Linked DNA regions of Saccharomyces cerevisiae S288C. Changing the gene in region 1 together with any one later gene gives a genetic interaction. Each region holds a gene or a part of one and is shown in the gene's direction. Other genes may lie near its edges.

The links.
Region 2: mutations in QRI7 (region 1) and APS1 together harm fitness more than expected from each alone (negative genetic interaction), as found in Saccharomyces cerevisiae (2 studies listed by BioGRID).
Region 3: mutations in QRI7 (region 1) and DFG16 together harm fitness more than expected from each alone (negative genetic interaction), as found in Saccharomyces cerevisiae (2 studies listed by BioGRID).
Region 4: mutations in QRI7 (region 1) and VID30 together harm fitness more than expected from each alone (negative genetic interaction), as found in Saccharomyces cerevisiae (2 studies listed by BioGRID).

What each region holds. Positions count from the first base shown.
Region 1 is NC_001136.10:273,153-276,732, reverse strand, and holds QRI7 (putative N(6)-L-threonylcarbamoyladenine synthase), read left to right. Parts: upstream 1-1,856; coding exon 1,857-3,080; downstream 3,081-3,580. Other genes in the region: QRI1 (UDP-N-acetylglucosamine diphosphorylase), read left to right, coding at 152-1,585; Smc5-Smc6 complex subunit NSE4, read right to left, coding at 3,136-3,580. UniProt on the Saccharomyces cerevisiae protein: Required for the formation of a threonylcarbamoyl group on adenosine at position 37 (t(6)A37) in mitochondrial tRNAs that read codons beginning with adenine.
Region 2 is NC_001144.5:498,429-505,974, reverse strand, and holds APS1 (Aps1p), read left to right. Parts: upstream 1-4,925; coding exon 4,926-5,396; downstream 5,397-7,546. Other genes in the region: isocitrate dehydrogenase (NADP(+)) IDP2, read right to left, coding at 146-1,384; TAG1 (Tag1p), read right to left, coding at 1,728-3,554; DPH5 (diphthine synthase), read left to right, coding at 3,813-4,715; UPS2 (Ups2p), read left to right, coding at 5,705-6,397; ubiquitin-40S ribosomal protein eS31 RPS31 fusion protein, read right to left, coding at 6,570-7,028. UniProt on the Saccharomyces cerevisiae protein: Component of the adapter complexes which link clathrin to receptors in coated vesicles. Clathrin-associated protein complexes are believed to interact with the cytoplasmic tails of membrane proteins, leading to their selection and concentration.
Region 3 is NC_001147.6:382,142-391,155, forward strand, and holds DFG16 (Dfg16p), read left to right. Parts: upstream 1-4,683; coding exon 4,684-6,543; downstream 6,544-9,014. Other genes in the region: Hsp90 cochaperone STI1, read left to right, coding at 1-681; CIN5 (Cin5p), read right to left, coding at 1,392-2,279; YOR029W (uncharacterized protein), read left to right, coding at 2,459-2,794; HMS1 (Hms1p), read right to left, coding at 7,630-8,934. UniProt on the Saccharomyces cerevisiae protein: Involved in invasion during filamentous growth.
Region 4 is NC_001139.9:63,375-73,047, forward strand, and holds VID30 (glucose-induced degradation complex subunit VID30), read left to right. Parts: upstream 1-6,296; coding exon 6,297-9,173; downstream 9,174-9,673. Other genes in the region: chaperone EMC4, read right to left, coding at 1-246; YGL230C (uncharacterized protein), read right to left, coding at 398-841; SAP4 (Sap4p), read right to left, coding at 1,129-3,585; SHE10 (She10p), read left to right, coding at 4,224-5,957; OST5 (dolichyl-diphosphooligosaccharide--protein glycotransferase subunit), read right to left, coding at 9,375-9,614.

The sequences.
Region 1 (3,580 bases):
CATTTTATAGAATAAAAAGTTACGCGTAATACGAAAAATTGCCTATTACGTTAAGGCATACTTTTACCACACAAAACCAAGATCAACCGTCAAGCAAGAACGCTGCAAAGAAACGCAGATATAAAGGAGAACACCAGATCGAACTGCAACTATGACTGACACAAAACAGCTATTCATTGAAGCCGGACAAAGTCAACTTTTCCACAATTGGGAAAGCTTGTCTCGCAAAGACCAAGAAGAATTGCTTTCAAACCTGGAGCAAATATCTTCCAAGAGGTCCCCTGCAAAACTACTGGAAGACTGTCAAAATGCTATTAAATTCTCACTAGCTAACTCTTCTAAGGATACTGGCGTCGAAATTTCACCATTGCCCCCTACTTCGTACGAGTCGCTTATTGGCAACAGTAAGAAAGAAAATGAATACTGGCGTTTAGGCCTTGAAGCTATTGGCAAGGGTGAAGTCGCAGTGATTTTAATGGCTGGCGGACAAGGTACGCGGTTAGGATCCTCTCAACCAAAGGGCTGTTACGACATTGGATTGCCTTCTAAGAAATCTCTTTTTCAAATTCAAGCTGAAAAGTTGATCAGGTTGCAAGATATGGTAAAGGACAAAAAGGTAGAAATTCCTTGGTATATTATGACATCAGGCCCCACTAGAGCGGCTACTGAGGCATACTTTCAAGAACACAATTATTTTGGCTTGAATAAAGAACAAATTACGTTCTTCAACCAGGGAACCCTGCCTGCCTTTGATTTAACCGGGAAGCATTTCCTAATGAAAGACCCAGTAAACCTATCTCAATCACCAGATGGAAATGGTGGACTCTACCGTGCCATCAAGGAAAACAAGTTGAACGAAGACTTTGATAGGAGAGGAATCAAGCATGTTTACATGTACTGTGTCGATAATGTCCTATCTAAAATCGCAGACCCTGTATTTATTGGTTTTGCCATCAAGCATGGCTTCGAACTGGCCACCAAAGCCGTTAGAAAGAGAGATGCGCATGAATCAGTTGGGTTAATTGCTACTAAAAACGAGAAACCATGTGTCATAGAATATTCTGAAATTTCCAATGAATTGGCTGAAGCAAAGGATAAAGATGGCTTATTAAAACTACGCGCAGGCAACATTGTAAATCATTATTACCTAGTGGATTTACTAAAACGTGATTTGGATCAGTGGTGTGAGAATATGCCATATCACATTGCGAAGAAGAAAATTCCAGCTTATGATAGTGTTACCGGCAAGTACACTAAGCCTACCGAACCAAACGGTATAAAATTAGAGCAATTCATATTTGATGTCTTTGACACTGTACCACTGAACAAGTTTGGGTGCTTAGAAGTAGATAGATGCAAAGAATTTTCACCTTTAAAAAACGGTCCTGGTTCTAAGAACGATAATCCTGAGACCAGCAGACTAGCATATTTGAAACTAGGAACCTCGTGGTTGGAAGATGCAGGCGCTATTGTAAAAGATGGGGTACTAGTCGAAGTTTCCAGCAAATTGAGTTATGCAGGTGAAAATCTATCCCAGTTCAAAGGTAAAGTCTTTGACAGAAGTGGTATAGTATTAGAAAAATAACTGTTTGAGCTACTTATGAAGCACTTTTAACATGTAATTGAAAAGTACTCGTAATTGTGATTCAATATATATAATAAAATATTTCGTACTCTGAAAAATAGCTAAATTACTTGTTTTATGTAATTTCTATTTGGCGGATCCGCTCTGCCAATGGAAAGAGTGGCATCTTCATTGCGCGATGATTAATTGACAATGAAATTAAAGCAAACAGCGATTCTCAAGCTCTGAAATAAGTAGAGTAGAAGAAAGGATAGAAACTTTTTTTTTCATTATGATATCAATAAAAGGAACCGGAAGATTTCTCCTCGATAACTATAGAATTTGGCAGAGGCGTGCATTCAACAGACCAATACAGTTAAGAAAAGGCTATAAAGTTTTAGCCATTGAGACTTCTTGCGATGATACATGCGTTTCAGTTTTGGACAGGTTCTCAAAAAGTGCAGCTCCTAATGTGCTAGCCAATTTGAAAGATACTTTAGATAGTATTGACGAAGGAGGTATTATACCAACAAAGGCTCATATCCATCACCAAGCTCGGATAGGACCCTTAACCGAAAGAGCCCTGATAGAAAGCAATGCGAGAGAAGGAATTGATCTCATATGTGTTACAAGAGGCCCTGGTATGCCTGGTTCATTATCAGGAGGATTAGATTTTGCAAAAGGTTTAGCTGTTGCCTGGAACAAACCACTGATTGGTGTGCATCACATGCTGGGACACTTGCTGATACCAAGAATGGGTACAAATGGAAAAGTGCCTCAATTTCCCTTTGTTAGCCTGCTGGTTAGTGGTGGTCATACTACGTTTGTTTTGTCACGAGCAATTGACGATCACGAAATATTATGTGATACTATCGATATTGCAGTGGGTGACTCATTAGATAAATGTGGCAGAGAGCTTGGATTCAAGGGAACAATGATCGCTAGAGAAATGGAGAAATTTATTAATCAAGATATTAACGACCAAGATTTTGCTTTAAAACTAGAAATGCCCAGTCCGTTAAAAAACAGCGCTAGTAAAAGAAACATGCTTTCGTTTTCGTTTTCAGCATTTATCACAGCATTAAGAACTAATTTGACAAAACTAGGTAAAACAGAAATCCAGGAACTGCCAGAACGCGAAATACGGTCAATTGCATATCAAGTACAGGAATCTGTTTTCGACCATATAATAAATAAACTGAAGCACGTGCTCAAGTCACAACCGGAAAAGTTTAAAAACGTGCGTGAATTTGTATGTTCTGGTGGAGTGAGTAGTAATCAAAGGTTGAGAACAAAATTAGAAACGGAATTGGGGACGTTGAACTCCACAAGCTTTTTTAATTTTTATTATCCTCCTATGGACCTTTGTAGTGACAACTCTATTATGATCGGCTGGGCAGGTATCGAGATATGGGAAAGCTTACGATTAGTTAGTGATTTAGATATATGTCCAATTAGGCAATGGCCATTGAATGACCTATTAAGTGTTGATGGTTGGAGAACGGACCAGCTATGAAAAAAAAAAAAAAAAAAAAAAAACTGTACATATTATATGCAGCGCTCTATCGCTGTTAGTCTAAGAATGGTGAAGTGATGTTGTATTTCTTTATTAGTTTTCGCCAAGTAGGCATGTCCATTTGAAAAATAATGTGATTCTGATGAGCGGCACGACGCCTTTGTCTCTCAATTTCTTTACTTCTTGAATCTGTGTGACTTATGCTTTGTTTTATCTTAATTGTGGGTAAACCTTCTTCATCGTGTTCCATCAATAGTTTTCCCTCTTTGATCAAAAAACTGGTATAGAAAAGATTTTCGATGGATCGCGAGAATGAATTTGGGTCTATAATAAATTTAAAAAGATTAATGGAACCTTCTGGGCCTAATTTTTTTGAAAGCTTTTTGAAACATTTCTTGACCTGTTCAGGGGTAGTTTCTTGCTGTGTGGAGTTTAAAGAATGCTGAGTGATTTTCTCAGCGGTGATCTTTTCACCAACTTGGTCATTATTCCTTCTTCGT
Region 2 (7,546 bases), on another chromosome or scaffold:
ATTTTCTTTTTGCGAAGAGGGAAAAGAAGAAAGAAAAATTTTCAGTGAGAACAGAAGATCATATGTTACGAGTAGAAAATACTAAAAGTTTTTCGATAAAAAGGGAATATATAATATAAATAAATCAATCTGTCATTGAGTAAGTTTACAATGCAGCTGCCTCGAACTCTTTTTTCAATCTAGATTCCACCGCGTCAATGAACTCCTCGGTAGTGACATAAGCGGATCTTTCAGACTTACCGAGAATGAGCGCCAAATCTTTAGTCATGATTCCATCTTCTTGCACTGTATTTACCGTAGCGCTTTCCAATATTTGGCCGAACTTAACTACATCTGGAGTATTATCAAGTTTACCCCTTTGAATAATACCTCTAGTCCACGCGAAAATTGATGCAATGGAATTTGTTGACGTCTCCTTTCCTTGCTGATGCTGTCTAAAATGTCTTGTTACTGTACCGTGGGCGGCTTCGCTTTCAAAGGTTTTACCGTCCGGGGTAATCAACACAGATGTCATTAACCCCAAGGAGCCAAATCCTTGTGCAACAATATCTGATTCTACGTCACCGTCGTAATTTTTCATGGCAATTATGTATCCACCTTTAGATTTCAACATTTGGGCCACCATATCATCAATTAAACGGTGCTCGTACCAGATGCCAAGGGATTCAAACTTCTCTTTATAACTTCTAGCATACATGGCTTCGAAAACATCTTTGAATTTACCATCATACTTCTTCAAAATAGTATTCTTAGTAGTGGAATATAATGGTAACTTCCTTTCAATGGCCAATTCAAAGGAGGCCTTCGCAAACCCTTCGATCGAATCTGTAGTGTTGTACATCATCATGGCAACCCCACCATGTTCTGGGTAGTCAAATACCTTCAGATCTACATCATGAGTTCCGCTCTTGGATTTATAAACAAGCCTCAACTCGCCTTCTTCAGGGACTATTACATCGGTAGCTTTGTACTGATCGCCGAATGCGTGTCTCCCAATGATGATGGGCTTCTCCCATTGAGGAACTAGCCTTGGAATTCTAGGGATAATAATAGGTTCTCTGAACACTGTACCACCCAAAATGTTTCTAATAGTACCATTTGGAGATTTCCACATCTTTTTCAAATGAAATTCCTCGACCCTTGCCTCATCGGGTGTAATAGTCGCGCATTTGACAGCTACTCCATACTTTAAAGTCGCGGTGGCAGAATCCACAGTTACTTGATCATTAGTCTGGTCACGATACTCCACGGAAAGATCGTAGTACTTCAAATCAACGTCAAGATAGGGCAAGACTAACTTGTCCCTGATTAAATGCCAGATTATTCTTGTTTGCTCATCGCCGTCCATTTCCACAATGGGGTTAGCTACCTTAATCTTTGTCATTACGATTTTATATATATACGTACGTTACCTTCTTACCTCCTATTCTCGTGCCTGAGCAGCGACTGTAGTCGACAAGTCAAGAGTGTAGTAACATACAATTGCAGGCTGTCATTTATATATCATGCCGGAGACTAGTTTGCCTATAGCCAATTCCAACCGAACCAATAATGTTAAGTCCGGTTTTTGATATTATACTCCACCCCCACTATTCCTAGCCCTGAAAGGTATCAAAGAGAACACTGATGATTTGACTACTGCATATTCTTCCCTTATTTCCTTATTTGCCGATTTTCGGACCACCGGCAATGACATCCCGGAGTTATAAAAATAAATAGATAGACGTTCACGTGACCAAAGTGTCACCCTCTCCGGCTAACCCGGTGAGAACCCACGGGCCCAATGCCGTCGTAAGTGACGCATCTATCGTCGCATTAAAGTGAATAACTGTAAAACCCTGGAATAGTATTTCGTTCAGGGTTCGTGTTAGTTCCAAGCTATTGACGACTTCCATGTCGTCATTTTCTAGATCAAATTGAAGCTTCATCTGCGTATTTCCTGTGTCCTCATCGTGCAGAATGTGCGATGAAGAGTTGATCCATTGCTTCATGGGTAAGTTTAAGAAATTGATGTCGTTATGGTACAGATCGATCTGTCCCCGAATGGTATCGATGCGAACTCGGTCTTGCTGGTGCGTCTCGTAGAAGGATAGATCAAAGAATCCTAAAAATGTCCCCACAAGACTGAGCTTTTTGCGCGCTGCCCACCGTAGCTGAAGATCGTTGATCTGAAACTCTTGAATCAATTCACTGGAGTTAAACGTAGCATTGGTAGTAATGGGAATAAACGATGCTTCTTGGAAAATATCCTCCAGCATGTCTGCTGGAATCAATGAGTTATTATCTATACCATCTTCAAGGACATGGCCTCTTGCTGCGAACGTAACAGTCTCGTTCTGGTTCAGGACCGCATTCACTATTTGGCTCATTGGTGTAAGACTATTTTGAGGACATTCTTGGTATAGTAGTTCATCGGGCAGAGGACCTTCAATTTCATTTTGTAAACAGACGACGATATTATCCTTGTCGTGGTGCAGATTAATCGGTTCGTTAAAGCAAGACAAGGTTGGAATTGCGATAGCAGGCTCACCGTTACAGTCCGGTAGCTTGATTTCCCAATTGATGAAAGGGATTGACGTGCCTGGCGGAAGGTGAAGCCAGTCCACCCCTCCAAGAATCGTGATCGGATTCAGTCTCATATCGGCATGAAATCCATCAGAACTGGAGTCCCGCAATGTAAATCCTTGAAGAGATATTCCATCGATCATATTTTGAATCATCCGAAGGGGCGTTGCCGATATTTTTTCCCAATCAATAATATCTTTCCAATCTAAGATTTCGTCATTAAGTTTCAATAAATTAAACCTCGTGCCAAATTTTCTCTTGAAGATAGTCATATCTAAATTCGATTTTATATTTAAGGATTCAAAATCCCTATTCCAAAATTTTTTCAAAACTTTTACGATTTTCCAAATAGACGGTTTAACTAAAATTTTGAACTGTAGGTTATTAATCTGTCGGTGAGCCAAATTAAAACAAATGGGTTCCATGCCAACAACATCTCCCAGTTTATTCTTGAACACTAGATCTCCATCGAATGTGGTCACGTTATTCAGATCTATACAAATGGTTTTAAGAACTTTTTCATTGATGTACCGTATCCAGTCACGTTGGCTTCTGGCGTCCGAGTCATTTTCCGTTCCTGGCCATTTGTCATAATCGAACCAAATTTGAGAGTGTATAGACACCTGCAAATACTTACCTGTATCATTGTTCAGGTCAGAGCCCATATTATCTTTCCAACCATCAAGCTGAAACTCCACCAGTTTGAAATTTGTTACTTGAACTAGATTCTTTTCTATCACATCTGTGGGCGGCACATGTCCCCTAATATACTGCACTATGCTGACGCCAAAGAAACTTAATAAAACAATACCTAGCAGATATATAATTAAGCACTTTATACTCCGCCAACGAGATTTAATAAGGGTCTCATTTGCAACGTTGATTCTCACTTCATCATTGAGGAGTTGGCTTTCTTCAGTGTTTGGTCTCAACAGTGGTTGAGTTTCTAGATCTTGGTTATCCGCTCGTAAGGGTGAGTTAGTGTGCATCTTAAAAGGTTCAAGGAGTAATGCACTACACTAAGCAATAAAAAATCCCAAAAACAGGAGGATCTTGTGTCTTCTTCCCCTAGACAGTTCATCTTTTTGATTCTGGGCTTCGCATTTACCTTTAGAGAAAATTAAATAACCCCATGCATGCGATTCTAAAAAAAAGTTAACTAAGCGATGGGATGAAATTTTTTTCTGGTGGTTGTTAGCAAAGTAAAAACGAACAGGATATAGAGTGAATAAAGGACAGTGAGAAAAATGCTTTATTTGATCGGACTTGGTCTCTCGTACAAATCAGACATTACCGTTCGTGGTTTGGAAGCTATTAAGAAATGTTCTAGAGTTTATCTAGAACACTATACCAGTATCCTAATGGCTGCAAGCCAAGAAGAGTTAGAATCTTACTATGGTAAAGAGATCATCTTGGCTGATAGGGAATTAGTTGAGACTGGTTCTAAGCAGATCCTAAATAACGCCGATAAGGAAGACGTTGCTTTCTTGGTCGTGGGCGATCCATTTGGTGCCACCACACACACAGATTTAGTTCTCAGAGCTAAACGTGAGGCAATTCCCGTCGAAATTATTCATAATGCGTCCGTTATGAATGCAGTTGGGGCATGTGGCCTACAACTATACAATTTCGGTCAAACCGTTTCCATGGTTTTCTTTACCGATAATTGGAGACCAGACTCATGGTACGACAAGATCTGGGAAAATAGAAAAATTGGCCTTCATACTTTAGTGTTATTGGACATCAAAGTTAAGGAACAAAGCATTGAAAATATGGCCCGTGGCAGACTAATCTACGAACCACCAAGATACATGTCTATCGCTCAATGTTGTGAACAATTATTAGAAATTGAAGAGAAAAGAGGTACAAAGGCATACACTCCTGATACTCCAGCAGTCGCAATTAGTAGATTAGGCTCGAGCTCCCAAAGCTTTAAGTCTGGTACCATAAGTGAGTTAGCCAATTACGATTCAGGAGAGCCACTTCATTCGCTTGTCATCCTCGGCAGACAATGTCATGAATTGGAGCTGGAATACCTGCTAGAGTTTGCCGACGACAAAGAAAAGTTTGGGAAAGATGTGGCAAATGACCAAGAGTACTTCAAACCTGCGGCATGGGTCCCACCCACAGAAGACGACAGCGACGAGTAAAGGTAATGCACACGCTCATGTGTAGTTTCTTTTTTATAATGTATATTGAATAGATCCTTTCAGTCGGGTAACAATTCGATCCCAAACGAATCGGGCCCTAACGATATGTGTAAAAATGGCAATGAATGAACAAGAAGTTATAACAACAATTTCAGCCAAGAACAAGAGCGATCCTGGAGGAGATTATATACGGATACACAGGTACACAAGATGACGCAATTAAAATATTTGTTGCTGGTTTCTAGGCAAGGAAAAATCAGATTAAAGAAATGGTACACGGCAATGTCCGCTGGTGAAAAGGCAAAAATTGTGAAAGACTTGACACCTACGATATTAGCAAGAAAACCCAAAATGTGTAACATCATCGAGTATAATGACCACAAAGTAGTATACAAGCGATATGCTAGTCTATATTTTATTGTTGGGATGACGCCCGATGTTGACAATGAACTGCTGACCTTGGAAATTATCCATCGGTTTGTCGAAACAATGGACACATATTTCGGCAATGTTTGTGAGCTAGACATTATATTTAACTTCAGTAAGGTCTACGATATCTTGAATGAGATGATTATGTGCGATGGCTCCATCGCAGAGAGCAGTAGGAAGGAAGTACTGCACCATGTGACCGTGATGGACACCATGGAGAGCAACGATAATCTTGAAAGGGTATTGAGTTAGGACCACTAAAAAACAATGGAATGAAGAAGAAAGGAGAAGAATAAGATGAGAAGGGGGCAAGGGGCCCTACTATTATTACCGTCTGTCGCAAAAGCCGTTGCCCGGACAAAAATATCTTTTGCGAGCATCGGCACAACGTTGATTGGTCAGAGCGGTAAAAAGGAATGAATGTGAAAAATGTAAAGAATATATAGGCGATAAAATTATCATGCGAAGTGATGTACATATTTTTGAATTTAAGCATCAATAGGACGAAAGAATAGATTTCAGACTAAGATAAAATAATCGAGAATAATTAAAAGACGATAATGAAATTGTTTCAAAACAGTTACGATTTCAACTATCCATGGGACCAGGTAACCGCCGCTAACTGGAAAAAATACCCAAATGAAATATCTACACATGTCATCGCAGTGGACGTTTTAAGAAGAGAATTGAAGGATCAAGGTAAGGTCTTAGTTACTGAACGGTTGATTACTGTAAAACAAGGTGTTCCCAAATGGATCATGATGATGCTAGGAGGGACCAATATGAGTCATGTCAGAGAAGTTTCTGTGGTAGACTTAAATAAAAAGAGCTTGACCATGAGAAGCTGTAATTTAACGATGTGCAATCTATTAAAAGTCTACGAAACTGTAACATATAGCCCGCATCCCGATGACTCGGCTAATAAAACACTTTTCCAGCAGGAAGCCCAAATTACAGCATATGGATCCATTAGAAAGCTGTGTAATAAGATGGAAGATTGGTCAGTTCAAAGGTTTTGCGAGAACGCTAAAAAGGGTAAAATGGGATTCGATGCTGTTTTGCAAGTATTTAGTGAAAATTGGGAAAAACATGTTGATGACTTGAGCAATCAACTTGTCAGTAAAGTCAATGAAACCATGGAGGATGTTAAAATATCTGCAGGTACGCTTCTTAAAGGAACTGAAAGGAGCGGCAGAACCATCTTACAGCAAAATATTGACTTGTTTAGAGACGCATACAACCACGAAAATTAGAGATACAAATTCCTTGATCCCGCATGGCACTGCATACTACTTATATTCCTCTACTGTCTATCTATTCATTTGTTCTTTTGTTGTAAATAGAAAAGTAAATAATGACAATATTAAAAGCCTTTTTCAAAATTTAACGATCAATTAAAATATATAAGTTTTAAAAATACTTTACTTAAGCGTTAACCTTGTAGACGGAATGACACTTACCACAGTACAATCTGTCCTTGTGGTTAGCCAAGAAAACACCAGCACCACAAGTTGGGTTGCTACATTCTCTTCTCAATTTGGTAACCTTACCTTCAGCATCGACCTTGTAGTAGGACAAGACAGCCAACTTGACCTTCTTGTGCTTGTGCTTGATCTTCTTTGGGGTGGTGTAGACCTTCTTCTTTCTCTTCTTACCACCACCTCTCAATCTCAAGACCAAGTGTAGAGTAGATTCCTTTTGGATGTTGTAGTCGGACAAAGTTCTACCATCTTCCAATTGCTTACCAGCAAAGATCAATCTTTGTTGGTCAGGTGGAATACCTTCCTTGTCTTGGATCTTGGACTTGACATTGTCAATAGTGTCAGAAGATTCAACTTCCAGGGTAATAGTCTTACCGGTTAAAGTCTTGACGAAAATTTGCATCTTGGCTTGTCGGCAAAATTAAAAATTAACTGCTTCTTTCTTACCAAGTAATCTTGTGACTTCTTTGTATTGGAATAAAAGATAGAAGTAAGGAAGTTTCTGATATAACGAACATCTCAAAATATTTAAACCATTTAATAAGTCTAAAAGTATCTAGTTTTTCATTTTGATGAGTTCCCACCGCTTGAAAAAGTGCGCCCGGGCCAAAAAAAAAAGTTTGTACTAAAATAAATGATAAATGATAAACCCAATTCCTTACAGGATGCACGGAGGTAAACAGGAAAGATATCTCAAGAACTTCTCGTTCATTAACCCCAGGTAGATCGCACTAAAGACTTCACCACTATTGATAAAGGTTTTGTAGAATATTTATTATCGATACCTTGCGGTTGCAAATTAATATACCCATCAAATAATTAACCCCAACCAAGTTTAATTTCTCTCCTTTCAACAAATGGGGAGGCTCAAATGTTTTTACTTACTTGAAACACTCTTTTGATTTGCTACAAAATAATCAA
Region 3 (9,014 bases), on another chromosome or scaffold:
ACCGAACATCGTACTGCTGACATTTTGACCAAGTTAAGGAATGCTGAAAAAGAATTGAAGAAAGCTGAGGCGGAGGCGTATGTTAACCCTGAAAAGGCGGAGGAAGCCCGTCTTGAAGGTAAGGAATATTTTACCAAGAGTGATTGGCCGAATGCTGTTAAGGCTTACACTGAAATGATCAAAAGGGCACCTGAAGATGCTAGAGGATATTCTAATAGAGCTGCTGCACTAGCGAAGTTAATGTCTTTCCCTGAAGCTATCGCAGATTGTAACAAAGCCATTGAAAAAGATCCAAATTTCGTGAGAGCTTATATCAGAAAGGCCACCGCACAAATTGCTGTTAAAGAATATGCTTCCGCTTTGGAAACACTAGATGCGGCCAGAACCAAAGATGCTGAAGTGAATAATGGTTCTAGTGCAAGGGAAATTGATCAACTGTACTACAAGGCAAGCCAACAAAGATTCCAACCTGGTACCAGTAACGAAACCCCAGAAGAAACCTATCAAAGGGCCATGAAAGATCCTGAAGTGGCTGCGATCATGCAAGATCCTGTTATGCAAAGTATTTTGCAGCAGGCCCAACAGAATCCCGCTGCTTTACAAGAACACATGAAAAATCCAGAAGTATTCAAAAAGATTCAGACGTTGATCGCTGCTGGTATCATCCGGACTGGCCGCTAAAAATAATACGAAATATAACTTTATTATCTTGAATTCTTTTTTTACTGCTTTTTCATACATACGTACATATAATGATCTTCTCACTTAGTATACTAAATTTGTTTCATGCTATGGTTGATATTTGAGAAATCGGAACTTGAAGATAATAAGTTTCTTGGGCGAGGGAAAAAAACATCGGACCATCTTTCCTGTCGTTCTCCGGATCAGCCCTAGGAAATTTCTGGCCGGAACTCTCCTTAGAAACAAAAAAAATTACGTAATTGGCACAACTTTACGTCAACAATATTCATTACATCAGAATGCGAAAAAAAAAAAGCGAGAATATCTAAGCTCCATGACAACATTCGCTAAGCTGAAAAAATTAGGGAAATAAACTTTTCAAATTGCTATGATATAATTTCGTTTCTTACTATGTATTTTCTACGTATATTTTTACACTCTTGACTCTTTCCTTTTTAGTAATGTGCCTGCCATAAAAAAAGGGAGATGAAGGAAAGAAAATAAAAATGGTGAAAATTAAGCTTTGTTGATTACCTAATACAAGCTGCCTGAAACTAGAAACCATAAATTGTTTCCTATCTCGTAATATTTTCGCCACCTTAGGCATCAATTTTCTTTGGAGAAGGGGGGTTGCATCCCCCTGAAGAAGTGCTTGCCATGTGCTTTGAAAACTTTTAAGATGTTACTAGTACTAATAATTATTCATTATTTTATTCTTTTAATTTCGACTTTAATGATTCAATCATTTTTTTCAATTCACTGTTTTCTTTCATCAAGCCATCGAATAGTTTTGATTTTTCTTCGAGATTTTTGATGTATTTCTCACGACGCTGCCTAAACGCCTTTTGTGCGCTTCGATTTTGGGCAGCTCTCTTAGTATTTCTTAAAGGTTTGCCTGTTTTACCGATCAACTGGCCATCATTGTTATATCTTTCGCCTTCGTTAAAAACCTGCTCTGAAAGAGAAACGGAAACTCGACGTCTTTCCTCTGAAGGAAGGTTAGTCGTGGCACTATTTTTTCTCGTAGCTGGGGTACTATTTGAGGGAAAATATGAAGCTGCCGGTTGGCTAGTAAATGTAGATGCAGTAGTGTAGGAAGATTCAAATGGTGCGTGTGATGCAGTGGTGTATGGATTAGAATTGAAGTGACAGTTTAAATGAGTATCTGATAGTTGCGGTCTAAGCTGGTATGTGTTCAGTCTTGGTAAAGACGGAGGAATCAAATTGTTTATTGTCACCGGCCTTGCAATATGTGGGCCCGCAGTATTTGGAACATCCTCACACAATGCTCCTATATTAACAGAATTTCTTCTTCCAGAAAGATCTGTAAGTGAGCCAGTTCTGCTCTCATAACCAGGCTCTTCAAGTGTTGCAATCTTTGGGAGCTGAATTTGCGGTAGAGTCACATTCGAAGCAACTACCGAAATTGTATGCAAATCAGCCTTGTTCTCCTCTTTAATAAACCCTACAGGAGGGCTTGGCACGAAAGCGGTATCCGTCATTTTTTTTGGCTTTGTACTGTCTCTTGTCATTGAATGGGAAGCTAAAATAGGTTGAAAATTAAAAGGATGATTGTCCATTTTTATTTGCATTAACATTTGAGTAGGTTTTTGGTTTTCCTTCTTGTTCCAAGCTGTTATTCTATATCTATGATGAGATTAACGGCTGCAAAAAGTCGTAGTTAATCAGTAAAATTATCTAATGAATTATTTGTAAGCAGAATGCGTGAGAAAAAATAAATCACCCAGTTCCTTTTTTATATACATGAACTTTGGTAATGATGCAGACATCAACTAGTTCTCGAGTGAGGAGGTATCCTTATCAAATCACTCTCTCCCTAGTATTGAAAGGGTTTTACTCGCCTTCTGCTCCTAGTTACGATTTTTGCCTAGTACTCCTTCCTACCCTCTTCCTCATAGATTTAATGCCAATAAAATTTTCTTTGCATGTCACCATTGGGATCGGTGAGGCAACTCCGGTTCCGATTTTTTTTTTTTCAGCGCCGTGGTATTTCCGCTCGGGAAATCCCCTCCCGCATTGCGTCAGAGCTTATCGATGTAAAGTTAATTTCCCTTTTTTTCGGTTGGGCTGGAGCACTTGGTTGCATTACTAACAAATTAACGAACAATAGTTTTAAAAGCAAGTGCCTTAAGATTTAGGTCATTCCTTCGAGGATTTCTGGGAACAATTTAAAGAATAACAGAAACTTTTGCGGCCCTTTTCATCATCTACGTGTTTTGTAAGAATGAGATCACATTCCACGTAGCCCTAAACATTGGCGTACATTTCCACTCGGAACCTTTTCTCGACCCCTCTCCGTACGCCAAGTTTTACCTTGAGGAGTAAGTCGTCAAAGGGGCGTGGGGCAGCCATTTCTTAGGAGGTGGGAAGACATGGCAGTGAGTGGGCCCTATGATTGCTGCTGCAGGGGACTTTTCAGGATAATCATGTAAACGATAAAACGGAAAAACAAAACTACGGACGTTGTTACCTTTCCATTTTGAAATGTTTCTCCGAAAAAATACCATTTTGCACAGTTCAACATTCTTGATGGCAAAAGCGAAGCATTGCGTCAACGGGTTAGATAAGTCATTTACTGTCAATTAGTACCAATACCTGTCTTTGCTCACCGAATGGCACTATACAGTGACGTTAAGATCTTGTAGTTGTTTTTCAAGAAGGCACTAAATAAGGTAATATATGGTGCCTTTCGCAATGACTCGTGTATCTGGCAGATCTATAGCTGCACACCTGATTTTTTTGCTATATTTGAATCAGGAGTAAGTTTGAACCATAATCATTCCAATTCAGTTTGATAGTACCTTTTTTTTAAAATTTTTGAAAGAGCTATCGCTTAGCTATCGGCGGGCATATTGAATTGCGCAGTAGATGAACATTTCACTAGTTGTGGCCAAAGAAGTTAGTTAAAAAGTGTAAATATGTCACAGTACTTATCCTTCTCTAAAGAATTAGTTTATTAAAAGCAGCAACAAGAAGAATGACTGTCAACCATTTTTAGGTCATTGCAACAAATCTCAAAATACGCTTTTATAGATAATCTAAGAAGATCGTTATATGGGAATACTAACAGTGAGAAAATGGAAGAAACGGGTTAGCGTAGAAAATTGTAATTAAAAAACAACAGTTTTAAGAAGGTGGTGGGCAATTAATACTTGAGGATTAATACTTAGAGCTTATTCAAAAAGAAAAGATAGAATTTCATGTAATACATGAGAACAATGTAAGGTTTTTAAGGTAACGAGTAACTAAGTTTTGAAATATCTTCACTAGCCTTGCAATCATCTTTTAGCTTTTCTATTTGCCGGATTCTTTACAACATAATCACGCTTTCTTCTAGTTGTAATTTTCCTTCTAGATGTCATTATTTCAACCGATGTCATTAATATCCTTTTATGGTGTTTACAAAAAGAAAGTTTCAAGTACCGCTCACCTACACTACGTTGTAATTCTTAGATACATAACTTTAGTTTTGTCGCCTATGTGCACAGATAAACAAAACAACCTATAAAATTTCCGTTGGGCCCTTTTGTCCCTGATTTCTGGTGTGTAACCCATTTATTTCTGTCCTGTAATAATTCGTCTTCGGTGATTGCCATATATACACAGTTTAGCTTTACTAACTATAAACATCCGAGAAGAAGAAAAAAGAAGGTCTGATTTCTATCAAACAACATGTGAAGATAACACAATCGATGTGATTGATATCAGATTTACTAGCCCCGTTGGATTGAAAAATCTGCAAGGAAGGGCTAAAGAGCAATATACTTTCTTTTGTTGTTTCGGGGTGATGAGAAAATTGTAACTTTTTTTTTTAACTTGGCGAGAAAATTGACTGGAAGAAGTGTCAAAGATAAGGCTTCTATCATATTCAAAACAAGTACCACCAAATGGCAGCTCAACTCCGAAGGCTCAAAAACAATACTTATTGATATTGCACTCACAAGCATTTTTTGTTGCGGAACGTCTTTACGTGCAAGATTAATGATCATAAGATTGCATTTTTACTACCTCCTCACTTTAGTTTACCATTTAGGACTTGTAGGTGCGTATGAAAAAGCAGCAAGAAAGAGAATTCAACCTCCCGATTTGATACCTGGTCCTCCGGGACATAAACTTGGTGATGAAAGACCACCGCATTACGACCACCGGCCACCTTATAAAAAACACATCGACAACATTCCAGCTTACAATCTGACTGATTTGATAGATGATAAACTACTAAATAAATATGAAAACTCATGCACGGTAAATGTATTGACAGGTGGCTTCATCTCTCTAGCAAGTAATTCGTGGCACTTACGTGCTTATAATTACACTTTAAATTACCCATCCTTTTTGATCCGATGCGATAATGGCAGTGCAAATCCTAATTTCTCTCATGTCTTACAAGACTTTGTTTATGACATCAACAACAAATTCAACGTTCAAGATGACAGTAGTAAATACATCGGAAAAGACCCATTTCCCTTAGGAATGATAATGATCACCTTTGCTTCTGGGTGTATCTGTGTGGCAACATGGATGCTATTTTTGGTTGTCTTATTACTGCCATCCGATAATCATAATAGAAGAAATAAAGTTGTACATGTTTACGTCCTTTTCTCTGCGATTATAAGAACTGTATTTCTAAACGAGACTATAGCCGTCATATTTGACAGCCAATATCACGATGACTACCAGGATGCGAGCCAATTTGAATCGTTCATCGTAGAAACTGCACCATATAAAATATGTGAATTAGTTGCAAATATTTTGAGTGATATAAACTGGATTTATATTGTTCACTACTTACAGTCCAATTATGGAAAACCAACTTGGAATTGGATCCCATTTAAAATGAAAAAGGGGACACATATCATAATTACCGTGGGTTGCTTCCTCTCACTAGCCGATAACATTTTATTCGCAAACCTTCTTTGGAGAAAGAACCTTGTAGTTTTGAAGGTATTTTACAAGCTAATCGAATTACTGATTTACACAATTTTCATCTCCATTATTTGTTACTTCACATGGCATAATTTTGCTTACATACTTTTACCGAAAACTGCTGAAATTAATACGGACGGTAAGTGTAAAACGAAATTGAGAATTCTTTGGGAAAATTATCACGAAACTATACCATTATTGGCGTATAATATTCTTATATTTATTTTATTCTATTTCACCACAATTTTTTTCGCTGCTTTCACCAAACATGTTAGAGGTTGGACATTTAACTTTGTTCATCTTTTGAAAGTTTTAATAACAGTGAACGTTTGGGGCTTAATTGGAGTATTGGAAAAGAGGGAGCTGCACATAAGCAAAAAAACAGTCCTTGGACGAAAAATTAACAATAGGGACAAATTTTTCGCCAATCCAACAGTCAATTATTACGGAGAAGATTTAGGCAAGCATTTAAGCGCCATAACGTTAAACAGGGATTTAAACACTACTAAAAGTAACACTACTTCCCACGATTCATCAAGTTTAGTAGGATCCCCTTCACCCACCTGGAAATCTCCAATCGAAAGAATAAGGGACAGAAGAAGAAGACATAAGATAATGAAAAGTGAGAATAAATTTGGGCAAAATCCCAGTTTTGGAAGTAAATCGAATGGCAAACCTAATACTAAAACGACATTATCCAAATATCGACAGCTATTAAGGAAGCCTAGGCGAAAAACCAATTCATATGAACCAAAAAATGGCATTGGACAGAATAAAGAAGGCTCAACTGTTAGACCAGGAGCCGACAAACATATTAGAGATTCCAATTATCTAGCTACAGACATCAGTGACAACGAAAGTATGGAAACCGAACTTCGAACCAACCACATTTATAATTACGAAAATAGTGATTAAGGCAGGCCCAGTGGACGAAAAGACATAACTGCAGAAGTACAGCTGCCTTTATTTCTTGTGGTCATTTATTGCTTTTATTTTCAAGTCAGATATACAAGAAAATCAAATCCCATCGTCAACGTCACGTATAAACGATTAATTTACAGTAATACCATACTCTACCAACATTATTTTAGTCCGACGTTCAGTCCTGTAGGTGTTCCAAATCCTTCTGGCATTGACTTCTGTGCAGAAACCCTTCAAAATGAGTTCCACTTTACGTCAGATCGCATAACAACCGGTCATATATTTTTTTCTTTTGCTAAACCCCCTACTGCAAGCACTTTTAAGAAAAAGAACAATAAATGCGTCTTTATTGCTGTGTGGAAGTGATTTTTGTCTTTCGGACAAAAAAAGGATAGGGATGCGAGAGGGCTGTGAAGTAGTGATCAAGCGGGGCCTATATAAGAAGGGCGCACATCGTCCCCCCTAAGAATAGCGAAGCGATATTACACTGAACACTACAATGTCAAATAGTACTCAATAAATATGACTGTAAAAATATGTGACTGTTAAGGCGAATGTTGTAAGGACTCTTGTCATTGTGGGAGCACCTGCCTTCCAAGCTGTTCTGGCGGTGAAAAGTGCAAATGTGATCACAGCACCGGAAGCCCTCAATGTAAGAGTTGTGGTGAAAAATGCAAATGCGAAACCACGTGCACTTGTGAAAAGAGTAAATGCAATTGTGAAAAATGTTAGGTGACCCCTACTCTTTACTTATCATAAATACATCATCATATTTTACCCTTAATTAACAACATTTATTTAACTGCATGAACTAAATATAAGGTATAGTTTCTTTTTCCCGGAATCTTTTTTTTAGATCGTTATTATTTAGACGGCACTAAGAGAAATAAATTAAACTAAATTACGGTGCGGAGCTCAAGGCATCTGCGAGTGTTTACTAACACTAAAAGAGATGAATAAAATAGATTTCTCAATGCAAAATTAAAATTACAATGTTACGCATACACACAAGTACAGATTTGTATATAGTATTTCTTCTTCGTTTTATCTGTCGTGTTGAAACATTTTGTTGTTCAAGTATTAAAAGTCTCCTGCGTTGTTAAAATCCATATCATGTGAATTGTTGGTGCCGCTCATGAGGCCGTTTTGATGTGGAATATTATATTGAATGTTATGCAATGGTTGTTGTTGTCGTGGCTGCCGCTGCCGTTGGCGTTGGCAGCTTCTGGTTTGCTTTTGTACTTGTTCACTACTACTGTTGTCACTCAACGGTTGAGATGGCTCGGTAAGATGGACGAAAGAATCCCGTGTGTCATTTGATAAATGTTGATTAGCCAAGCTTAGCTGTAGGCACTTTCTTTCTAAATGACAAATATATTCAATAGATTTCGTTAAAATGGACGCCTTATTCAATTTTGTTGCTGGCTCTAGGCCATCTAAGTCTGCTAGGTCTCTAGATGTAATGGGAAGATCGTTACATTTTTTATACGCTACTCGTAGCGTTGGGACAGTTCTCCTTAATTGTTCAATTTTATCATTAATATTGGAACGGTATTTCTTTTCAATTATATTGTGTGATACCCTTCCTGTCCTCACCCTTGTTATTCTTTTGGGTTTAACATGAAAATGTTTCCGTATAGGTGAAGTTTTTAACTTGAAGCTCATACTGTCAGCATTGTCAATATTCTCCAAATTCAAAGATGATTTAATCTCGTCTGCAGTAACTAAGGGAGACTCTGTCTTCGATAAAGGCAAAAAATTTTCAAAGCCAGACAATTGTTCCTTTTTCACGATTGAAGCTGCTGAAAGAAGACTCGAGTCCTTTTCAGATTTAAGATCGGTTTGCTTTACATTATCAATGTTTTCATTTTCCTCGCTACTAAAGACTTCCATGTTATCAATGTATTCTTCGCTGTCAATAGTATTGCCATTGTCTGTAGTCATTGTAGTACTACCCGTCGTTGTTGTAGGTATAGAAGCCAGAGCATCATTATAGTAATTACTATCAATTACTGGAGTGTGGCCTGAAGTATTAGGAAACGAGGAGTCACTATACTGGTCTGTGGCAGAATATGTGTTGTTCTTATATACAGGAGGCACGGGAGGTTGAAGATGGATGGGATGCTGAAATGGAGCGTAATAAGCATGCGTCGGAGGTCCTTGAGAACCCAAATCCTCGGTATTGTAATTTGGTGGCGGCACGTTGTAATTGTTACTTTGAAACATTAAATACATTTGGTTCGTGGTTACATTTACATTCTGCTCTTCGCTGCCATCTTGAGCACTTCTACAATCAAAAACCTTGATGGCGACTTTATTACCTAGGTCGTTCATTACAGAATTGCCATCCGAAGAACCAGAAAAAGGTTTTTGAAAATTTGGCATTTCCAATTTATACTCTTATCGTTGCTAAAATGAGTCGTGTACTGCAACTGCTCTATATTCTATATTCTAAGCGAATGGGT
Region 4 (9,673 bases), on another chromosome or scaffold:
TTTGGCTGGTTGTAACGCAATTTGCCATGCCTTCTGTACTTGTAATACTGTTATTTGGTTTTTTTGTGCCAAAGAAGTAGTTTGAGATGTAGCATCTTGTTGTTTTCTTGTAACATTTCCTTTAGAGGAATTACCTTCAAATCCTGGTGGTGAAGGTAATGTGTTTGAGTTCTGAATGTTGTATTTTTCGATATACTTGGTGTCCAATAGGTGTTTAGCCCATTCGTAAGGCTCCTGTTCACTCATTTCTGTTGCTTATATCGTTTGGCTTTATTTTAACCTTAACTGATATTATGTTCAACTTTTTTTCATTCTATTTATATAGAAAAGAATACGCTTTTTTTATTATTTATGAAAGGAACATGAAAAAACTACGAATGTACAAAAGCAGAGATTGCTAGAGAATACATTGGTCAAGAATTTTCGCATATGGAACGCATTGCTCTTTTAGATGGGCTGTTAAATAATCGTAATTTAGGTTAGTTATTGCCCTTTGCGTCTTCCGTGGAACAATGTTGGTCCAATAAATTATAAAGAAAAGAAATTGGATAGCACAAATAAAAGAGCAAGCGATAATGCAAAACATTAAAAGTCTGTTTTCCATTAGTTTGTAATATTCTGAGGTCATCAATAAAAACCATTTTTTCGTTCTTGTAAAATTGTATCTCTCATCTGTATTGGATTTTTCGACCATTTGAAAATCATCCTTGCTTTTTCCTTTATATTCAGTCGAGGAATCATTTGCTGTATTAGGCTCTGGTTGAGAAACCTCTTCAAGGCCCTTTTTTGGGTAGGCTTTCAATAAATGTAGAACATTGCCGGATAGTGTAATAATTCCCATTATTATGGTTTTGTTTTGCCTGGTTTGGGCCTGACTTTAGTTATATGATTATTTTTGTATAGATAGCTATAAGTTATTGAAAGTAAGCTAGACAATAATTTTTGGTGAATAGTTGGTGAACATTCCTGAACTACAAAGGACTATTGTTATATTTAGTTTACTTCAATTGGCCCCCAATAGGCTTCGTAATTTTTACATGTCACAAAATTAAATAAGGCAAAACGAGAAACAAAATATTAAAAATGTAGGAAAAAAAAAGTCAAAATTGGTTTGACGACTTAACCTAATCAATTTAAGTCGGAATGATGATCAACAATAACATCTTTAATTTTATCATGAATATCTAATTCGGTTAATTGACCCAATTCATCTATGAGCTCGGCAACTTTATCATGCAACTTAACATCCTCCTCGTGAACAATTTCATTCTCATCCATTGTGGATGGATGAGCTGGTTTACTCATATCAGCTTTTTCCAAAAAGTCCTGGTTAGTATTTTCATCGCTTTCGGCACAGAACTGGCCTCCACCAAGAATTATTGAACACATTGTCCTTGTTTCGTTCAAGATGTCACTAGAATATGACATCCAAACTTCATCTTGTAAGAAGGCATATATATCTGGAGCAATTAGATCGGTCTTATAAATTTTGGAATACTTCGCAATTTCTTCGGCAATTAATACTAATTGACCCATATAACCTAAATTTGTTTTCTCTTTTTCGTAAAATTCAAACGAATCCTTGTGGCCTTGTAAAATGAAATCAGAGATAATATGGAAGTCTTTAACAGGTAACTTTTGGTTGCTGCCGTACAAAGGTTTTGGGATAAATCTTGTAGACTTTTTGAAATCAAACAAAGAATAGACCAAAAATGAGTTATAAGAAAAATCCATTCGACCATTGAATATCTGCTGAATAATATCAAATACAATGTTGTGCCAAAAGTTATTCCAAGGATATCTTAAGAATAATTGTAGAAACTTTGGAAAAAACCCAAGGTCATGAAGTTTAATTTTGAATAAATCTCCAATGGTAGGGTTTTTACGTATTTTCAAATTTTGCGTTTCACTGACGTAAGGAATTTCAAAACTCATATCATCATCATCATCAATATTGTCATCAGATGTATCAAAAGTAGAATACAATTCATTATCATGAAACTTTTTTTTAATATTTTTTTTTTGTTTTTGGTTGTCATTACTGTCATTACTATCATTATTATTACATTTATCTTCTAATGTATTGGAAGTAATAGTATTATCATTTATATTTAAATTTTTCATGGCTTTCTCTAGTGAGTTTTGATCAAGAGTGTCCCTGCATTTATCTCTGGTACGTGCTATTTTTTCGCCTCTTTTTGAATTCATCAATCCCATATTTGAACAGTGTAACATTTCCGATATCAATTCTGTAATCTTGACTCTTTCAAAGCCCAAAGGCCTGAATGATTCATGCAATTGGTTTTCTAGTAGGTGATGCTTAACAGATGGAAGAGCTTTTGAAGCAGTGTCATGATCATCGTCATCATCATTTTCAAGTTTAATTAGTAATGCATAAAAATCTTCCATATGCATAGTGAGCTCATATAACAAATGGCCCAAATAGACTGGATCTCTTTGAGAAGGCGGATTGTCTACTATGGTGGTACTTAACAAATCTACTTCGTCATAGTCGGAATTATTCTTCCTGATCAACTCAATTATAATAGATACGGCAACTCCCATTGCATGGCCTCTTTGAAATAAGATTATATTAATAAGTTGGTCGACATATTGCGGAGAGGCAAGCTGTCTTGTCAATCGGTTAGGTCCGATCCACAAAGTATCCAGTTTAAAATTGGTGGAAATGCTGATCAGTGCTTTTAGAAGCTCTCCGCTACTGTTTTGAATACCAGGTGAGTATTTGCTATTTTCCAAGAGATTCAAACACTTAGGTATCAGATCCTGGTGATACAAGAAGTCAATAATGTTCGTAGGTGATTCAACTTGATCAGTCAGCATGATTTTAATGAGAAATTCAACCAAGGGTGAGACTTCAATATGATATAAGAACTTGTCCACAATGTTCGGTTGCGATTTGAAAAATTCCAAATAGCTAGATGTCTGTTCAAACAGAAGAGTTTCGTTAATCTTAAGGAAAACAGCCAAGATAGGACAATTTTCTGCCTCAATATTTTCAAACTGGAAAACCTCGAACAGAGAGGACAAAAATGGGGTATTTTGCACGAGTGCCTCCACTATGGGCGCACTTTTCGAACAAAAAATACTGGAAATAATGTTGACATACAGCATTGGGTCTTCATCGTCCTGATCTTCATATTCACCTGTTTGATGGAATGAATTCTCTAAAAGAAATGGGGTTCTATAACCAGTGCGGTCTATGTCCTTCAGGTAAGCCATCAACATGTCCACTAGGTAGTCCATGTGGCGGACCTGCTGGGAACGGTCGTCATAGAAATATCCCAAGCAAATGAAGTCGACGAGTCTGTCGTTGGCTGCTCCATTCAGTTCATCCAGCAAAGCTGTTTCCAACAAGATCCTATCAATAAATGACTGGTTAAGGTCACTCCTATCCCGAGACTCGGTACCAAATTCGGACTCTGACTCCATAGAAGGCTCATTCTTCTTGTCGTCAGTTGAAGAGGTCTCATTTCCCTCCAAACTACGAAAAATTAGATAGTACTCTTCAAGTATCGAATCAATTCCGGAATGACTCAGCGTCTCTCCAAAGGGCCATAGTGACATATTTTTATTTTATTTTAGCTTTATCGAAAAGCAAGAGAGCAGTAAACTGGACGGTATAGAAGAAAAGAGAACTTAATAACAAAAGACCAGATTGTCTATAACTTTATCTCACACCAAATACCAGGTTGTCCTTTTCCCGCTGGGTGAAGCAACCGTTTCACTTATTCGCACAATCCAATTAGTAGAACACAACACAACACAACACAACACAACACAGCACAACACGCTTACCAAATTATATTTACTACGGCAACCAAAAACCGACAGAATAAAAAACAGCCATCATACGTGGATGAACTCTTGGTTTATTGTCTGTTATTATCCTCGAGAGTTCTTATTTAGGGGATTTAGGGCTGGCATCAATACCCTAACTAAACCCTGAACTGCCCAAGGAACAATTTTCAAAAGTAAGAAATGTCCTATACGTTTCTATGTATAACCCTAAGATAGTCAGGTTTCGGAAATAAGGCGGATTTCTACGTACATGATGATAATCATGTATCAAAGAAAGGATCAACTTGAAGAACAGCCTTAAAGTAAGCGTAATGGGCATTCTGTTTCAACCACCATTTCTGAAGTACTTTATATCTTGGATGCACAAAAGCTGTTACATCTAAACAAGAACGCAGCGTAACGAAATGGGAAAGCTGATAAAGTTAATCACAACTCTGACGGTGTTGGTATCGTTGCTTCAGTACTGTTGCGAATTCAATAGTGGGAGCATATCGTGTGAACGCACGCAAACGCTTTGCCATTATACCAATCCAAGAGTCTGGAACACCTACTTTTCAAGAAATTGTGAATTATACAAAAATAAAGTTAGTCCCGGTTTCGATATAGTGGCGCGTAAATATGACACGGCTGTCAAACCTGTCATCGATGACGCTACAGTAAAAGTGAACAAGGTCGCTATACAGCCTGCATTCAAGGTCATCCATTCACAATGTAAGAAATGGAACTGTGGAAAGTATTACCAATTGGTCCGCTCCCCAATGGTCAAGACTAGACGATTTTTCTTCGCAAAATACAATGCTTTTGTGAAACCTAACTTAGACAAATTCTTTACTGCGGAGTTTCGCTCTCATTTGAAGGAAAGAATTTTAAAGTATAAAAATATAGGCCATTATTACTTTACTATCACTTCAAGATGCATCAAATCCAAATACGACTTTATTGTTGGTAATACAGAGGAAAAATTAATGGGAAAGTTCAAGAATAAGGACACGCATGGCATTCATGGTTCTGTCACACGTGAGCCTTCCTCGGAGGACATGGTTTTAACCGTAAGTACTATGGAGTCTGACGAAGAGGAGCTAACTACAACAAGTACTCAAACAGTGGTTGAAACAATTACTTTGGACCAGGAAGAGGCTAGCGCTGTTGCTAATCATGCGCACGACGATGAGGCTTCCACAGACGTTGAAGGCTCCACAGACGTCAATGTCAATGAACAGGCTCTGTTGCAAGAGGATTTTGACATGTGGAGTGAGACTATATTGCAGAAAACACAAGACGTCATACAGCTATTTGAAAAGGATGTTTCCAAATACATCAATGGTAAATTGGTTGAGGAGGCCAACCATTTTAAAGCCAAGTTTCAATCTTTAGATGATAAATCTAAGAAGTTCTTCTCCAAGATTTCGCTAGCCATTAACGATATTGAATGTGTGGAAGGCATTGATAGTGAAACTGGCAAGAAAATTTTCTTCGATAAATCTGGAAGTACTGAGATTTCTCAGTACATAACGAGAGAGTTAGTTCGTGAGTACTTCAACGAGACGCGCTCGACGTTAGACGAACTGACAAATGCTATGGAGAAAGATTTGAGCGAAATCACTGATGAAATTGAAAAAAAAGTTAATGCAATTAGAGAGGAAAACGTCGAGGTATTTGAAGAATGGGGTGATATCATTGTAAATGAATGGTCCAAAAGAATGGCTTATGTGGATGTTATCAACGCTCACATGGGTGCAGATGATGACACTACGCTTGATGAAGAGAAAGCAAAGTCTTCTGTTAACTGGAAGAAGTTTTTGAAGGGCAAGAAACAGATCATAGAATCTAGAGACAAGCTGGCTCACCATTCCGCTGACTTATCCCGTGTTAACGCGTTTAGGCAAAAAGTGCAAAAGAAGATATTATCGTTCACTCAAGAGAGTGGTGAGTTTTTGTATATTCTAAGATCGAAAGCCAACCTGCAATTTCAGGAACGTGAAAGAAAGGAACGTGAAAGAAAAGAGCGTGAAAAAGCTGCAGCAGAAGAGTTCCAAAGGCAGCAGGAGCTATTACGACAACAGGAAGAAGAAGACGAAGAAGACGTATCCTACACCTCTACTTCGACCATCACCACAACCATTACCATGACATTGTGATGAAATTCATGCGCTTGCTATACACACACACACACACACACACACACACACACACAATATCTATCTATATATATATGTATGTTCTTTATTGTTTGTCTTTACCTTTATATATAAACATATATAGCCATATAAGAATATAATATTACCACTCCACTGTATTTTGTATCCTGCCTATTTTTGCTAGATTACAGGACGCGCGAGCCTTTCAGGGGAGGGAACTGATGAATCGATCAACCAAAAGAAAGAGCCAAAGGATTGGACCAGAACTGTTACTGTTATAGCAGAAATATTAGTAGTACGTTAAAGCCAAGCGTCGAATTTCAGCATAATTAAGAGGAAATGTCTGAATATATGGATGACGTAGACCGCGAATTCATTAACTGTTTGTTCCCGAGCTACTTGCTGCAACAGCCTGTGGCTTATGATTTATGGATTTTATATTTGCAACATAGAAAACTCTTTCACAAACTGAAGAACACTAACTTAATCAACGCTGATGAAAATCCCACTGGCGTTGGAATGGGCAGGACAAAGTTAACTGCTTTAACAAGGAAAGAAATCTGGTCTAAATTGATGAATTTGGGTGTTCTAGGCACAATTTCGTTTGAAGCTGTCAACGACGATTACCTGATTCAAGTCTATAAATATTTCTATCCAGACGTTAATGATTTTACTTTGAGATTTGGTGTTAAAGATTCAAATAAAAATTCAGTGCGAGTTATGAAAGCTTCCTCAGACATGAGGAAAAATGCTCAGGAACTATTAGAACCCGTTTTATCCGAACGTGAAATGGCGCTTAACTCTAATACCAGCCTGGAAAATGACAGAAATGACGATGATGATGACGATGATGATGATGACGATGATGACGATGACGATGACGACGACGACGATGAATCCGATCTGGAAAGCTTAGAAGGGGAAGTGGATACTGACACGGACGATAACAACGAAGGAGATGGCTCTGACAATCACGAGGAAGGTGGAGAAGAAGGAAGTAGAGGAGCTGATGCTGATGTGTCCAGTGCACAGCAGCGTGCCGAAAGGGTTGCGGACCCATGGATATATCAAAGATCTAGATCAGCTATTAATATAGAAACAGAATCAAGGAATTTGTGGGATACATCTGACAAGAACAGTGGTCTACAATACTACCCCCCTGATCAGTCTCCAAGTTCTTCCTTTTCTTCTCCTAGAGTATCGTCTGGTAACGACAAAAATGACAATGAGGCAACAAATGTTTTGTCCAACAGTGGTAGCAAAAAGAAAAACTCAATGATCCCTGATATTTACAAAATACTTGGGTACTTTTTACCTTCTAGATGGCAAGCTCAACCAAATAACAGCTTGCAGCTATCTCAAGATGGTATTACTCATTTACAACCTAATCCTGATTATCACTCATACATGACTTATGAAAGATCAAGCGCTTCTTCTGCCTCTACCAGAAATAGACTGAGAACCTCTTTTGAGAACTCTGGGAAAGTGGACTTTGCAGTCACTTGGGCAAATAAGTCATTGCCAGACAATAAGTTAACTATATTCTATTACGAGATTAAAGTTCTCAGTGTAACGAGTACAGAGAGTGCTGAAAATAGTAACATTGTTATCGGATACAAGTTAGTAGAGAATGAATTAATGGAAGCGACTACAAAAAAGAGTGTTTCTCGTTCAAGCGTGGCCGGTTCTAGTAGTAGCTTAGGTGGTAGTAATAACATGAGTTCCAATAGAGTACCTTCTACTTCTTTCACTATGGAAGGTACTCAAAGGCGTGATTATATTTATGAAGGGGGCGTTTCAGCCATGTCTCTTAACGTGGATGGTTCCATAAATAAGTGTCAGAAATACGGATTTGATCTTAATGTATTTGGCTATTGCGGATTTGACGGTTTGATAACTAATTCTACAGAACAATCTAAGGAATATGCTAAGCCTTTTGGTAGGGATGACGTTATTGGTTGTGGCATAAATTTTATCGATGGCTCAATTTTTTTCACGAAGAATGGTATCCATTTAGGTAACGCATTCACCGACTTGAATGATCTAGAATTCGTCCCATATGTGGCCTTACGACCTGGGAATTCTATCAAAACAAATTTTGGGTTAAATGAGGATTTTGTATTTGACATTATTGGATATCAAGATAAATGGAAGAGTTTGGCGTATGAGCATATTTGTCGTGGACGCCAAATGGACGTTTCAATTGAAGAATTCGACTCTGATGAAAGTGAGGAAGATGAAACTGAAAATGGGCCTGAAGAAAATAAATCAACAAACGTTAATGAAGATTTGATGGATATTGATCAAGAGGATGGTGCCGCTGGTAATAAGGATACAAAGAAGCTTAACGATGAGAAGGACAACAATCTGAAGTTTCTTTTGGGAGAAGATAATAGGTTTATAGATGGAAAGCTAGTTAGACCAGACGTGAACAATATTAACAACTTAAGCGTGGATGACGGTTCATTGCCTAATACATTAAACGTGATGATAAATGATTATTTGATCCACGAAGGATTGGTGGATGTTGCAAAGGGGTTTTTGAAAGATTTGCAAAAAGATGCGGTTAATGTCAATGGGCAACATTCTGAAAGTAAAGATGTTATCAGGCACAATGAAAGACAGATCATGAAAGAAGAACGTATGGTAAAGATAAGGCAAGAATTAAGATACTTGATAAACAAAGGTCAAATTAGCAAATGCATCAATTATATCGATAACGAAATTCCAGATCTGTTAAAAAATAATCTAGAATTGGTATTTGAGTTAAAACTAGCGAATTATCTGGTGATGATTAAAAAGAGTTCATCCAAAGATGATGACGAAATTGAAAATTTAATTTTGAAGGGTCAAGAATTATCTAATGAATTTATCTACGATACTAAAATTCCACAATCTTTGAGGGATAGGTTTAGTGGACAATTGAGTAATGTCTCTGCATTGTTAGCATATTCCAATCCACTTGTGGAGGCACCAAAGGAGATATCAGGATATTTGAGTGACGAATACTTACAAGAGAGATTATTTCAAGTTAGTAACAACACAATACTAACATTTTTACATAAGGATAGCGAATGCGCATTAGAGAATGTAATATCAAACACTAGAGCTATGCTTTCTACATTACTTGAGTATAACGCGTTCGGTTCAACCAACTCTTCAGATCCAAGATATTACAAAGCTATTAACTTCGACGAAGATGTGTTGAATTTATGAGCATAAAACAAGCACCTTCAAACAACAAAGCCATGTGATATCAGTCATTATCTTCCCAAAAATCGCATATTAATATGTCTTAAACCGTTTATATAATGAAATTTACTTGACACCTTTCTTTTTAATATTCTCATCCAAAATACTTCTTAAGTATAGTATATAATTTCATCGATAATTCCTTTATAGGCCAACGAAGAGCCACTAGACGTAGACACCGAAAGAATTCGAAGCAAAAACAGTGGTCAAGCCAGCAAACAAGCTGCCAATTACACTTAAAATTGTGTAGAAGAAGAGTTTCTTAATGTATGAAGATTTAGAACCGACGGCGAACAGGGCAGATGATAATACAGCTAATGTAACGATTAAACCACAAATTGCAAATTTTGGTTGAGTGTCTAAGTGGATAAATGGCTGGAAGCTCTTTGAGGAATGGAACTCTTTCTTAAGTGATTACACAAATGCCGAGAAGGCGAATTGGCTATACTTGTTAGTAATTATGA